Diceros bicornis minor: one gene and its partner. The main gene of each other region encodes a partner of the protein of the gene in region 2 in a complex. Links are inferred from orthologs where the notes say so. Each region holds a gene or a part of one and is shown on either strand. Other genes may lie near its edges.

The links.
Region 1: the proteins of CPSF6 (region 2) and NUDT21 are in contact, whole or in part, in a crystal structure (PDB 3P5T), measured with the Homo sapiens proteins. The link is inferred for Diceros bicornis minor from reciprocal best matches to the Homo sapiens genes CPSF6 and NUDT21. Residues at the interface, in NP_008938.2 of Homo sapiens: Trp90, Trp91, Thr92, Thr93, Asp94, Glu95, Lys113, Phe114, Glu116, Asn117, Arg118, Ala119, Asn120, Gly121, Gln122, Ser123; in NP_008937.1 of Homo sapiens: Pro151, Asn152, Glu154, Pro156, Tyr158, Tyr160, Pro162, Ala163, His164, Ile165, Thr166, Lys167.

The regions. Positions count from the first base shown.
Region 1 is NC_080771.1:10,007,745-10,014,887, reverse strand, and holds the start of NUDT21 (cleavage and polyadenylation specificity factor subunit 5), read left to right. Parts: upstream 1-4,129; 5' UTR 4,130-4,243; coding exon 4,244-4,359; intron 4,360-7,143. Other genes in the region: prolyl 3-hydroxylase OGFOD1, read right to left, coding at 1,677-1,822, 3,689-3,842. UniProt on the Homo sapiens protein: Component of the cleavage factor Im (CFIm) complex that functions as an activator of the pre-mRNA 3'-end cleavage and polyadenylation processing required for the maturation of pre-mRNA into functional mRNAs.
Region 2 is NC_080756.1:2,090,508-2,098,445, reverse strand, and holds the start of CPSF6 (cleavage and polyadenylation specificity factor subunit 6), read left to right. Parts: upstream 1-4,924; 5' UTR 4,925-4,989; coding exon 4,990-5,049; intron 5,050-7,938. UniProt on the Homo sapiens protein: Component of the cleavage factor Im (CFIm) complex that functions as an activator of the pre-mRNA 3'-end cleavage and polyadenylation processing required for the maturation of pre-mRNA into functional mRNAs.

The DNA of each region.
Region 1 (7,143 bases), on a different chromosome or scaffold from region 2:
GTGGTAGTTGAAGGGGAAAGTTAGACCAACAGCACTTTTTTCTTCTTAAGATGAGAAGAACTAACCGTACCAGCTTTTTTTTTTTTTTGTATGTTGAAGGGAATGATCCAGAAGAGAAGGAAAAATTGATGCAATTTCTTCATCTGTAAAACAGGAATAGTAATGTATGTCCTTCATAGGATTGTTGAGGATTTAATGAATTAATAAATATAAAGCACTTAGCATGGCATAAAGCATGCACTCAATAATGCTTGCTTTAAAATACATACAGAATATCAGGCTACTCCTAACGACAAACTTGGTTAGGGGGATTGGAAGATGTTATAGGCCCAATTATCAAGTCAACTCAGTACAAACAAAGAAAAAGAGATATAGGTGAAGTCTGAAGGGACAGGAGACTAAAAACAGGTTCTATATTTACTGTCTCAGGATGAAGTTCAGTCCCAAAGTGAGCAGAGTGAAAATTATTCACAGCAGTGCAGAGTTTCACCAAGCACCCATGGGGATCTAAAGTAATGGCTCCCTTGTTTTCTTCCTCACCACCCAGGGCCCTTTTTATTATTTTGCCTCGCACTGACTTCATAGCTAGAAGTATTTTCATCTACCAAATTGTATTAAGTAAAAACCACTTTGATTTCTCAATTTTAGTAATCAGAGATGCATATAGCCCTAAATCAACAAGAGGCCTAGTGTTACCAAAGTTGATACAATTACAAAGGCAGACAACTATGGTTTTTAATTAACCTATGCAACTTTACTATGGATACAAGTTAATTTTCATTAGATTTTCTGAATTATTAAGAATCACATCATTTGTGTATTTAACCTGGACTAATTCAATCATATGTACAAGGCCCAAAGATAGACAGATTGGGGGACACAACCAGCTGACCAAACAGTCAGCTCTGGAGATAACGGAGAAATCCATCATTTACTCTCTTACTCTAGATAAAGAGAAATCAAAGAAAACAAAATAATTCTTCACCTGTTTCATTTTTATTTTTCGTGATTTTAAGGGCTGCTGTCCTTGAGGTTTTATAAAGGATTTCCAAGAGTGATATATACCATGTACTGAAAGATATTCCCCCAAACCGAGGAAACCAATGACCTGTATTTCTATACCTAGACTGGGCCTGTCTTCTAAGAGTAGAAAAACTAGCCTTGATTTTGAGATAGTCTTTTCTGCCAAATTAAATTGGCCATCAAAAAAAGAATGGATCTAACTCTCTACAAGACATATTGCAATGCAGAGCATACTGCAATACACCAAGCTACCTAAAACAAAGACATGAACTCAAAAATCTAAATGGTTATTATCTTCTAATGTACAACTCTCTTCATTATACCACTCCCAAAAATGTACTTAACCCCTTTATTTCTAATGTACTTAATTACTGGCTTACTGTATTTCCTGACTATCTCATCATTACTGTTACCTCTATAAAGTCTTACAGGGTGGGAACTGGCAAAGACTCCCATATAATAATTATAGCACCTAACACAGAGTTAACACTCAGTAAGTTTATGTTAAATGAGTGAATGTTTTTAACAATGTCAAGGCAAGGACCCACCAAGGCAAACCCAACCTAACACACCCCAAGTCTAAAGGTATTGAGTGATTTTATAGATGCTGAATTTCTGAACTGGAAGAGCTGATGTGAAAGGGGCATAAATACCTGCTGGAACTTATATAAATCGTTATACTTTTCATGGAAGTCCAAGTTCAAAAGTTCCTTCTGCAGCCCTTCCAAGAAGTTTTGGCTTTGGATGAAGTTTGGGATCACGCAGTGAAGAAAGGGGTCCATGTCCATGACAATGGCTTCTGTGGGAAGGAAAACATGATCTATGGCTTTTTTCCTTTTGTATTTTTGACCCCTAAGTAGCACAGTAGAGAGAATACCAAAGGGGACGGTCATGAATTTTCTTGGGGGAAGAATTATACGCTCTTCTCTTTTTTCTTTACTGACTCAATACTACTTTGTGTGTGTGTGTGTGTGTGTGTGTGTGTGTGTGTGTGAGGAAGATCAGCCCTGAGCTAACATCCATGCCAATCCTCTTCTTTTTGCTGAGGAAGACTGCCCTAAGGTAACATCTATTGCCAATCCTCCGCCTTTTTTTCCCTTTTTCTCCCCAAAGCCCCAGTAGATAGTCGTATGTCATAGTTGCACATCCTTCTAGTTGCTGCATGTGGGACGCGGCCTCAGCGTGGCTGGACAAGCAGTGCATCGGTGCACGCCCTGGATCCCAACCCGGGCCGCCAGTAGCGGAGTGCGCACACTTAACCGCTCAGCCATGGGGTGGCCCCTGACTCGATACTACTTTTTAAAGATACTGTGCTTAGAATATTAGCCCATAAGATGAGTATAGGTGATGCCACTAAATTAAGTTTCCTGCTCTTTTGGGGGTTTTTTAATTCAATGATTACTTATTGAATTGAATGTATTTTAGATTAATTCATTTCCTCCAAATTTAAAATAAGAGCAGCAAATTAAAAATGAGAATAGCCATACTGCCTGGCAATTTTTCCCCAACCCTTTTCCTTTCCCCAAGTTACTATCAGAGGAAGTTACAACATACATACTTTTTTTTTTTTCTTTTAATCAGTTCAGGCATAACCTCCTTTAATTTGTTGATTTTTACCTCAACATTTTACCCACTGCCTCTGGCGGGAAGATTATGCACCTTTGCAATAATAATCACCACCACCACCACCTGCCAGGTGCCAGGCACAGTGGGGCTTTACATGCATTATCTCATTTAATCCTCCCAACAACGCGAAGGTAGACATTATCACTATCTTCATCCTACAAATGAGGAAATTGAGAAGTCCCTGAGTGGACAGAGCTTGCACTTTCAACACTAAGCTATCAGTTTCTATGTGCATCCAGAGCGCCCATGACTCTTCAAAGCACTTAACCGCTGAAACAAAAATCACAGCAAACTTGAGAAGAGGAAGCGTGATATATTAAGCAGAGTTCTTATGTATAAGGTGATATTTGAAGCAGAGGCTGGAATCCTTCAGTGTAGGCTCCTTCCCTCAGCCCACACACGTTTGCTTGCATGGGTCATGTAGTCGAACTACAGGCATGTAAAAACGAGTACGTTCAGGTGCCTGCTATCTGGCAGCTCACAACGTGCTCTGGCTACCCTATCAGAGGACAACCGAGCTTCACCCTCGGAGGAAAAATCGCATAAGCCACTCAAATACACGTCCAAAGGTTTACTGGTCTTTTTACTCAGGGAAACATTTATTGATGCATACATGCATTACCTTATTAATCTCATTCAGCATCTTTCCGAGGTAAACACTATCAGTTATCCCATTTACACAGGAAAGAACTGAAGTTTAAAAAAGTTAAACCCATTGCCCAACGACGCACCATCAGTGGAGAGGATTCTAACTCAGTAATCTCTAATTCCAGAATTCCACTATGAACTTCCATGCCCTCTACTTCCTGAAACTCCCTGGCCTACATGTCTTCCCTTCTCAGGTTTCTAAACCCAAACTGAACCTGGAATGAAAGGGGGCAGCAGGCCAGGCAAGAGGGTCGCAGGTGGCCAAAGTCACGCTCTCTCCAAGAGCCTCTTCCCTGGCGGCCCCGCTGCTCAGGAATCGGCTCGAGCGCCAGGACTTATTCAGAGGCCCCCAACCCCGCACAGAGGCTGCCCCTTCACAGCCCTCGGTTACCGTGACGGAACGGCGTCCTGCGGCTCCAGGCCTCAGCCACCTGCTTTTTCAAGGTTTCCTCCGTGACAGCGTCCGAAAACTCCGCCATCACCTCCTTCTTTCCCTTTTTCCCCGCCCTGCCCGGGCCGGGCTCAGCCGGCCGTTTCCCATTCATCTCCTCCTAGGCTACAGACCTCCGCCACGCTGATCAAGCAACTCTTTTCCTAGGGAGACTACAATTCCCAGGATGCCGCCTTCCAAGGGTCCCCGACGCCACCCAATAGGAAGGACCAAAGTAAGAGGAGGCGGAATCCATACCGGATTTACCAATGAGAGCTCCAGATATTGCGGCCGTCCCACCAGCGATTGGCCTAATGGCATGGCCGGCCGTTGCCTCTCTACTTCCTGCCGCCAGAGGCTGCGGATGCACTTCCGCCGTGCGTACGCCTCCTCTTGCGCTCTCCTGTTAATGGCGGGTGGCGGCTGCTGAGTGGGACGCAGTTAACCGCTGCTGCCACAGGGAAGGTCTCCCTGCCTCCCCCTTTCCGCTCGCTGCCAGTGCTCGAGCTCGCCAACATGTCCGTGGTGCCGCCCAATCGCTCGCAGACCGGCTGGCCCCGGGGGGTCAACCAGTTCGGCAATAAGTACATCCAGCAGACCAAGCCCCTCACGCTGGAGCGCACCATCAACCTGTAAGTGCGGCCTGGTCTCGCGCGCTGCCTTCGCCGGCGTCCCCTTCCTCGTGAGCGCGCCTCAAGACTCCAGTCTTCTCCTTCCGGCGCGCCACCGGCCCTCGGCGGGCTCCACGCTTCCCCGCACCCCCACTCTCGCGACTTTCTAGCTCCCGCAGGCTGTTTCCTTGTCCTCCAGCGCCAAGGGGTTCGAGTCGTACTTGAGAAGCTTTTCTTTTTCCAGAGAGATTTGTTCTCATGTCCCTGTGTTCAGTCATTGTAGGAACCCAGGTTTGCTTTGCACTCATCCTTTCTCCACCTCTGCAGAGATAACCAACCTCAAAACGTGGTGCTTATCCTTCCCGTGCATTGTTGATGCTTTCGCATCCCGTGTATGGCATCGTTTTGTGTGTTTTTATTTGATGGGAGTGGTATAATGTAGTATCGTTTTTGCAGTTTTCGCTCTTTTTCTGCCAATGAGCTTGCGAGATCTAGTTATAACGCGTAGGTTTAGTTTTTTCCCGTTATTGCTATATTGCATTTCAGCTCGTGAATGCACCACATTTTATTCGTCTGCTTAGTGCTGTCTGGCCTGCCCTGTCTTCTCTGCCGCAGCAGCAGCTTCCAGGCACCCAGTAGACCCCCGCATGGGAGGGTGGATGCTGTTATCGTTGGGCTTTCAGACCGTGGAGGGGTCCGGAACGTCGCCCCAGGGAACCCATTGAGGGCTGCGTTTTATTGTCAGCACCTTTCTGTGTAAGCCCTTTAAGCCGTTGCATTTCGAGGTCACTCAAAAGTAGCCTCGCTGTGGCAGGTAATTGGCATTTGGGCTCCGTCATGCTCAAGAAATTGTCAGTGTGCTTTTTTATCCTTTTTGAGAGGTCGTGAGGCACCGTGGTGCTGATCCAAAGGGAGGAAAGTGGTCAGTTAATGCTGGTCAGCGTTTAAAATGCGCAAGGATTTACTGATACTGGTATTTCAGTAGGACACTTTAGGTGTTTGTCTGTTTTATATTCAAGTAAATGAACTTTTCCCCCCCAAAAGCGATTTGAAATGGAAAAGATGGTTGTTATTGTTTTATTTGGCAAAACAGGTGCTGGCTTGACAGATTAGATAATAAGAATGTTGGGTTTATGAAATCTGGAATTAGTAGGTAGTTGTGTAGATACAAGTTAATATCTCTGTAGCTGCTAACGTAATTGCATTTTAATTTCATATCACTTCTTGTAAAAATCCTTTATAGATTTACATGAAGTGGAAGAGGCAAATGTTCTTTTAAAAAATGTGAAAGCACAGCTTCTGGATTACTTTCAGTGGTGATTAGAACTAGGACTTATGGTTTTCCCTCAGTTTGCCCTTCATTACTGGATCAGTTTGCATTAAGCCAGCATGTAGAATTAAGTTGGTGAAAATGTTTTCATTTTTGCTCCATTAAAGTTATGAGTTGATGGATTTACAATAGTTTTCCTCTCCTATATAAATATAGTGTTCAGAAATAATCATTGTGTTGTGAACTCAGTTCACCTGGGTGAGTAATGATCTAAATTGAAAACAAGTCCTCTCTCCCCAGTGTATTTTCTTTTAGGAAATACTGCATCAATGCCTACTTTGTACCAGGCACTGGGCATAATGCTGGGTATACAGTGGTGAGGAAATAAGCTGTAGTCCCTGCTTGACAAAGCTCACAGTATGATGGAAATAGTATGCATGTATCTGGGCTGGCACTCTGTTTTCACAGCTGCAGATTCTTACATTTCATCTTGATGGCGTCTCCTATTGATGTGAGAGCTGGCTCTTGCAGCAGAGATGTGTTATAGCTATCCTTAATTCCTTCTAACTCAGGTTATAAGAATTTGGTGTTAATATATATAAAGCGTTTTTTAAAATTGCCGGGCGGATAGTCCTGTGTGAGATTGTTGCTGCTAAAGACTATGTTAGATTCAGCATTGGGTCTTCTGGGGAAGACCTTTCTACAAATCTTTAAAGCACCCTGAAAATGGTGTATTTTATTTTATTTATTTATTTATTTTTTGTGAGGAAGATCAGCCCTGGGCTAACATCCATGCGAATCCTCCTCTTTTTGCTGAGGAATCCTCCTCCTTTTTTTCCCCAAAGCCCCAGTAGATAGTTGTGTGTCATAGTTGCACATCCTTCTAGTTGCTGTATGTGGGACGCGGCCTCAGCATGGCCGGACAAGTGGTGCGTCTGTGCGCACCCGGGATCCGAATCTGGGCGGCCAGTAGTGGAGCGCGCACACTTAACCACTAAGCTATGGGGCCGGCCCCCTGGAAATGGTGTATTTTAGAGCTGCTTCATTTATGCCTAGAATTTGACTTCTGGAATTAAAGTAATATTTTAGGTTTTGGCAACCTTGATTTGTTCCCCTTTCAAGCATAGCCGAGTGGATTAGTTATGTAGTTGTTGACTTTTAATGTCAAGGCATTTTGATAGAGTAGATACTTTGGGGATAGGCAAGTGTGGTCAAAGCATTCTTCTTACTCATAAGCTTATAATCAAAGGCTTTTTATGGTAAGGCTTAAGACCGAGGGGTTACAAGGTGGTACATGTGGTAAAATAGAACTATGGTATTTTTAACTATCTTCAAGGAAAAATTTGATCTTTACCAGGTAAGACAAAAACTACCTTCAACAATACGAGCCACGTTTTGAATTCTTGATAAAGGAGGAGAGAATATTCAGATTAGATATGGTGGGCAGAAGATTTGAATGAAGAGAAAGGAAGAATAACGATACTGAATAAAATAAATGCAGAAGGCTAAAAAAGATTTAGAGGGGAAAGAAAAGT
Region 2 (7,938 bases):
ATGGTGAGTTGATAATTTTATATGCCTCATTATTTAGTGTATTCCTGCCAGTAGAGACTTCCGTTTTGATGAGGCATTAACGAGAACCAAATCTTCCACTTATAATTTTGCATGTCTCTGTAGACTAATTTTCTAAAGAATCGTATCTGATTCCATACATTTCAAACTTTGTTTCTCCTCCACTACCCACATCCTTCTAGTGCCTAGCATGGCTGGACACACTCAGACCACGATATGACCTCTGGCCTTGCATCTTCATATCCCAGAAGCTGGGCGAGTCAGCACAGCAAAAATATTCCTGGAAAGCATTCCTGTCATCAGGATGACTAACAATAACTTACACATATATCTTTTCCATTAAAGATTCCATTAAATTTCCAAATTAAATGTACCACCTCATTCAACTTCCATTTTGATCCCATAAGAATCTCGGCCAGTCCAACCCCCATCCAACATGAAGGGGGATGTATGACAGCGAGGAAAGTGGAGTGGAAAGGATAAGGGGCCCACGATAGGGAGGAGCTTTGAATCATTAACTTCTTTCGCTTCCCACATCATCCCTCTTGCTGGGGGCAACCCTGAGGAAAGAGGGGGATTACCTTCCCAAAGCAGAGGATTCTAAAGGGATCCCCTCACACAGGCACTTAATACACTTCACGCATTTAATACACTTCACGTTGTGACACGTGGCAGTTTATGAGAGCCCAGTTACATAAACTCATAGACTATATTTTCCAGTTTTAACTAAGTTAACCATCACAAAATGCCTGAGTGTCTTAAAAAGAATCCTAAGAAATAATGGTTCATAACTGATACTAACAATGAAAGTACAAGTGAAAGACAAGAAAATGGCAGCGTCAACACTTGTCTACTTCTAGTACGAATTCTGGTCAGCCACATAATGAGATGAAAACAATGATGATTCAATCAGACTTAACAGGAGGAGGCCTCAAAATTTCAAGAAGACTGTTTGAAATTTGGATTTACATCCACTAATGATAATATGAGGTCATTATGATTAGCAAGACACTTAAAAATCCTGTTTATTTCATCCTTTAAAATATTTGTATATGTGTTCATGGTATAAAAATGTTCCATAAAATGCCTTAATAAAATAATATTTACATTTATATATATTATGGCTGCATGTTTAAAAATGTCATACTGACAGGGGTGAGAGTTTTAAAAAAAGTTTGGGGACTGCAGGGCTAAATTATGGCCTGTAGTCTGTCAGAACCAAAATCATGTTCCTACAGAGATTACAGCATTGGTTTATTTGGAGTAGGTGGGAATGACAGCATGTGTTAAATATTTATGGATTTGGATTTGCCTTCCCAAACCATCAGGCGTTTGTCTGTGTGTTGTCATCCAATAGGTGGAATGTGTTGGACAACCTTTGGGTGTCTGCTTAGCTCAAAGCAACCGTCTTTCACTGACAATTCTCCACCCTTTCCTAACTCATATAGTGGAATTTGTAAGGTGTTTTTACTCTGCCACCCCACCCCCTGAGACAAACTTCATTGGACTAGGAGTAGACGCCTATAAAAACTGAGCTAATCAGTTGCTTTCTCCATAGATTTTGTAATTAAACTAAGACATATGGCCATTTTCTTGAATGGTGGTTATTTGAACTCTGGAGCTGAGGATGCCAGTGTTGCATAGCCACGTGCATGGAAAAGGAGAGAAAACTCTTCTATAAAGAGAAGCAGCAGATGGACAGAGAACCTTAGAACATTATCTCCTTTCCAACCTCTTTGCTACTCTTCTTAAATATTTTGATTTTATATTGTTTATATTGTTGGAGTGATGCGACTGTGGGCAGGGGGCCACAGCTAAAGAATGTGGGCAGCCTCTAGAAGATGGAAAAGGCAAGAAAATGGATTCTCCTCTAGAGTTTCCAGAAGAAATGCAGCCTTGCCAACACCTTGATGCTAGCCCAGTAAGATTCATTTTGGACTTCTGATCTCCAGAGCTGTAAGAAAATAAATTTGTGTTGTTCCAAGCCCCTACATTGGTGGTAATTTGTTATAGCAGCGATAGGAAACTCATGCAGCAAGGCTAGAAGGAAGTTCCTCTGCAACATTTAACGTACCATTGCCAAATTCCTTCCAAGGCGCCTTGGACTTTCAATTCTATGTAGATTTGAATAATTTCAGAACTGAGAGTGACCTTCATGGAGGACTTGAGGTTGGACTTGTCTAAGGTTTCTTGGCTAGTCAGTTGTAAAGCCAGGACAAGAACCCAAGTCTCCAATCTTTCATTTATTTACATTAATGACTAGAAGATGTCTAACAAAGAGGCTGGTACGTAGAAGGTACCCAGTGGTAGAGTTTTGTTGTTCTTGTCATTATTATTATGCATTTTTCTTTGTAATCTATAATAATATGTCATTTTTTGAACATTGCCAAGTAAAGAGGTACCCAGTAACATTTTAAAATTATCAAAAAGCCAACCAGGTAGTGAGTGATGAATTACCTGGCCAAGAAGCAGAAGAGGATAGGGTCTATACATTCAGAGTGCTTTTGCCCTGGGAGCATTTTCAGATTCAAAAGATATCTACGGGAACAAAACATGGAGTCTAGGACTTGTCAAGAGTGGTGACTCTGGTAAACATGTTTTTGGCCAGTACTCAGAAGGACAGTACCCTAGGAGGTAAGGGCGAACCAAACTAAATCAGTCCCCCCAAGGTTCCCAACCATCTGGATTAGAGTGATCCTGTTTGTTGGTGCCCTCAGGTGCCTGCCAGAAGAAAATGAAAATCCTGTGGAAAAAAAAATCATCATAGGTCTCACATTATTTCTTAAAGTGTTTCAGTTACAATGTCCAGCATACGAAGATAGGTGACAAGACAACATGAGTGAGGACCAGCATAAACAATACACAACAAATAACTAGAACAAAGAATCAACAACAGACCCAATGGGACTCCAGATACTGGAATTATCAGAGACCCAGAAAGTACACCAATGATGCCTACTATATTCAAAGAGATAAAAGTCAAGACTGACAATTTTGGCAAAGAGTTAGATACTATAAAAATGAATCTAATAGATTTTAAAAACAATCAAATAGAAATTCTAGAACCTAAAATTACCAAAAAGAAAAAAAACTTAATAGCTCAGTACAGGAGTTTAACACCATAGGAGAGAGAATTAGTAATCTAGAAAATATAAAAAGGAGAAGGTAAGAGAAACAGTGGATAGGAAAGATCTAACATACACTTAACTAGCGTTATAGAAGGAGAGAAGAAAGAGTGGGGCAGAAGCAATACCAAAGAGGTAATGGCTGAAAATTTTCCAGAACTCATGAAAGGCATCAATCAATATACTCAAGAGGCCTGCCGAATCCTAAGCATCACAAACAAAAACAAATACACTTCCAAACATAAATAGTAAAAGAGCAAAAAATCAAAGTGTAAGAGAAAAACATCTTAAAAGCAGCCAGAGAAAAAAACCGTATGTCCTGCAAAGAAACTGACAGTAGACTTTTCACAGGCAACAGCGGAAGCCAGAATCTTGGAATGATTTTTAAATGTACCTAAAGAACATAGACAGCTCCTATCGGCACATCTCCTTCTCGCACTCTCTTGCCTCTCTCTTTCACTTATCAAAACCCTTGTGATTGCTTTGGGCCCACCAGGAAATCCAAGCTAACCTCCCTACGTCAAGAACCTTAAGCACATCTGCCAAGTCCCTTTTGCCATGTGAGGTCACATATTCACAGATTCCGTGGATGTGGACATCTACGATGGGTGATTATTGTGCCCATCTCATTATCGATCTAAAATACGCTCTTGCCCTTTATCATGCGACTCTTCCTCTTTAAAGCTCCATGGGAAAAATCAGTATTTCCAAGAAGCATAAGAGATAGGGCATTTTGCGTATTAACTCGTTTAAACCACCATCAACGTTCAGCCTTGGTGAGGTGAATATTACCACCCCGGTTTTAAAGGTTCTGAGACTGAACATGGGAGACATCGGGTAACTTGATGAGGTCGTCCAGCTGGTCAAGCGTCTGACTGGAAATCTGCACCCCGATCCCCAGCTTGGTCTCTAGGACTCCCACCAAGCTCTTCCCACCACCCCAGGCACAGACGGTGCTCGGCTCATCACCGTGTGAATGGCTGCTGGCCAGTCCCCGGCTCAGGAAACATGCTCTCACTTGGTGGGTTTTTACACGGGTGAAAAAGAAATAAAGAATGGGGGAAGGTTTCAAGCCGGACTGACATCTTGGAACCAAGCACTGGTGGCAACAGCTCTTTCTTTATTGACCACGCGACCCCGGTTACAGCTCTTCAATTCCTCAGGCCCCAGCTCCCCCGCTGTGAGATGAGACGTCCGGGTCACGGCACTTTTCCCGTCCCCTGCCCGTGGGCACTCCAGGAGTCGGAGCCCCGCCTGAGGGGCCGCCACCTTGCCGCGCGGGCTCGAGACGGCGGCACTCGGCCACGGGGGACGAGGCGGCGATGCAGGACGACGACGGCAGGAGATGGGGACGGAAACAGGAACGGCTGCCAGCAGCCGAGATAACGCCGCGGGTTTCTAGCGTTTCCGAGCAGACGACGCTCCGCGAGGCCGAGGGCGCAGGGAGAGCCGGCCTCGCCCTCAGGCGCCCCCGGCGTCGCGTGACACACACCGCTTGACCCTCGGCTGTGCGAGATGCCGGAAAACTGAGGAATGAAAACACTACAAAGCGCCCGAGCGCGCCGGAGGCGACGTGGAAACACGTCCCCGGAAACCAGCGCGGCGCCCCCGCCCCCGGCCCGGCCCGGCCCGGCCCGGCCCCACAAAGAGCCGCCTCGGCCGCGGGGCCGCCGCTGTCCCCTCAGCGCGCCCCCGCGCCCCCCGGCCGCCGCCCCCGCGTCCCCGGGTCGCCGCCCCCGCCGCGTCCCGCGGGCCGCGGAAGTGACGCAGGCGCCCCGCCCCCGCGTCGACCCGCTGCTCTGCCGCGGCGGGCGGACCTGCAGGCGGCGGGCCGAGGCCGAGGAAGATGGCGGACGGCGTGGACCACATCGACATCTATGCGGATGTGGGCGAGGAGTTCAACCAGGTACGCGGGCCGGGCGCCCAGGCGGCGGCCCGCGCGGGGGCCGGGCGGGCCGGGGCTGCAGCGTGCGCCCGCGCTCCGGCCCCGCGCCGCCCACCCGGCCGGCCGGCGCGGCCCCTCGTTCCACCGCGTCGTTGCGCGGGCGGCGGGCGCCGGGGCCGGGAGCGGGGGCCGGAGCGGACGCGGGCCCGTGCAGCCGCCGCCCCTCCCCGCTCGGCCCCGCCGCGCTCCCATTGTTGGCGGCCGGCGCGCTTCCCGCCGCGTAGGCCCGGCGCGGGCCGCGTGTGCGCGGAGGGGAGGCCGGGAGGCCGGGCGCGCGCCGCCCCCGCCCCGGCCCGGCCTCCCGCTCGGGGGGCGCCCCGGTCCTTTGTGCCCCGGGCCGCCCCCCCGGCCGCGCAGAGGCCGCTCGGCGCGCACGTTCGCGGAGGGCTGGGCGCGCTGGGGGCCGAGGCCCGGCCGAGCCGGCCGCGCAGGGTCGAGACAGGACGCCCGCGTCTCGAGGGCCGTTCCGAGGCGCGGTGGCCGTGGCGGGCTCTCGGCGGCCGGCGGGCCGTGCGGCCGGGTCGGGCCGGGCGGGGGCGCAGACCCTCCGCGCCGCGGCTGCCCCCCCGGCGGCGCAGCGCGCGTGTCCAGACGTCGGCCCCGCCGCGCCGCGCGGAGAGCTTTACTTTTGTATTTTCCAGGTCCGTGTGCGAAGCCTAATAAAATGCTACTGGTTCGTGGTTTGGGGTTTTTTCCCCCCTCCCTAAAGGACCTTATTTGTGGCGGGGGCTCAAGGTTTTTTAAAAATAGGGAAAGCTAGAAATCGCCACCGTTTCCCCCCCGCCCCCGGAATGACTTTGTGCCCTGGTTTAAATATTAGGAAAGGAAAAAATTCTCAGTTAGCTTTAAATGTGTCCTGCCCCCTTAAAGGCTGGATGTGTTTAAATGTAACCCATTGTAGTCAGACATTTTTAAAATCTTTGTTCCTTTTATTGTGTTTATATTTTGGCTGTGTGATGCCCGAGTTGTGTCAGTGACAAATTTAGACATTATCTTAGTGCTGCACAGATTCTAATGCTTTTAAGTCAGCAGACAAAGAGCTCTAGGAAATTTCTTTTGATTTGTTGAATGAGTATAACATTCCATCCAAGAGAGGGCCATGCCTGCAAGTCAGGGAACAAGTAAGTGTTCAAGCCTGTCCTCATTAGCGTTTCTTACAAGAAAATACGTCTGCTTTGCGTTTCTCTCCACAACGAAGGAAGAATTGGGGTCGGTTTTAGAAGTTGAGCTTTTTTCAGGACGTCCTCATGAAATCTTCTCTAGGCTTTCGCATACTTAATTTGGGGTGGGCGTTTCTCTAATCTATATGGCTGGATGGGGTGGTCCTTGCTTATCTCTGTGCAGTAACTAGTGCTGACTGAGCAGGAGGTAAGAAGAGATTAAAATTTTGTGGTCCTAATGAGGAACAACTTTGTAGGGTTCTTTTAAAAATGTCACTTTCTGTTTACTTGTACCTGTAGCATTATAGCTCACACATAGCTAGCTGTATGATTTTACCAGTAAAATCTTTATACTTTTGAATAGATTAATGGGGGGATTAAATAGTGGCTTCGTTTTTGTTATTATTTTGCATATCGTTGGCCTTTGTAATCTACTGCCTGCTGTGATAATTCCTATACAAAATATGGCCACAGAAGGATAGTTGATCGTTTTCATGGTTCATCCTGTTTTTTAAAATGTTACTGTCACTGAAATATTTTTCTGAAGTTTTATCAGAATTAGAGGCAACTACAAAATTATTGCTGATTGATTTAATTTGCACTGTTATTAGCTGGTGGCTTTATTCCTACTGGTTGCTATAGTAAACTATGGCTCTTATTTTATTGTAGTTGAGTAAAATGTTTTACCAAGTATAACCAGTCTTGACTTACTTTGGCTTTTAAACTGCTAAACGTTTAAAAAATCTTTATTCTTCAAAGTGAGCTGCAGTTTTATTTGCATCTGTATACTTTGAAATTCTCTGTAATCTATGTGTTTGCCATTTTTTTCTATTTTAAATGGTCGTACTTTTATGAAGCTTTTCATGTGTGTCTGTATTTTGCTAAAGCACAGTATAAACCTATTTCCAAAAGTGTAAGGCATTCAACTGTTTTAGAAGAATCTTTAATTTGAGGATGAGATGAGAATAAGTTGGTGAAACTGTAGTAGAGTTTCTTTCTTCACCAGATGAATTTAAGAATGGAGAGTCAAGTTGGAGAAGGGGAGAAGGCACAAGGGACTCGGCTGTTCTTTGTGGGTGCTCTTTAGTTCTTAAATTCAAGGTCTTCAATGTAACCAAATTGAGAACAGTTGCTCCAGTGGAAGGAGAATTTGAACTACTTCCAAACCTGTACATTACTTGAATTTGGAGTTGAGAAGAAAGAGGTTCTGTTTCAGCCTCTTTAGTTATATCAATTCACTTTGAACTGGGATTTGAACTCAAATGTAGTATTTATTAGCCTAATATTTAATAATTATAGACTTTTTAATTTTGACCAGAACTACATAAAAAATTTTAAAACTCAATTGTTCCAAATAGGTTTTTTGAGTATCTGTAGTCTGCCAACAAGGACGGATATTAAGTTTAGATAGTCTCTACCTTAGAGTGCACTGCAGTGGGGGTGAGAGACGCCTACATAATTATAATACCCTGACAGGTGGTATATTGTAGAATCCACTCTTTTATGTGTATCTGTATCTATAGAATTTTGTTGCTGGGGGAGAGGAAAGTCAAAAATTCTGTGCACTTCAGGAAAGCTTATACTGTGTGCATTGAAGTAGTGTGTACTTTGCCTGTTTGGGGATCAAAAGCTCTTACTGTAGAATTTAGTTATTGATCTGTCTGGCGCTAGGTCACTGATAGCAGTGTTG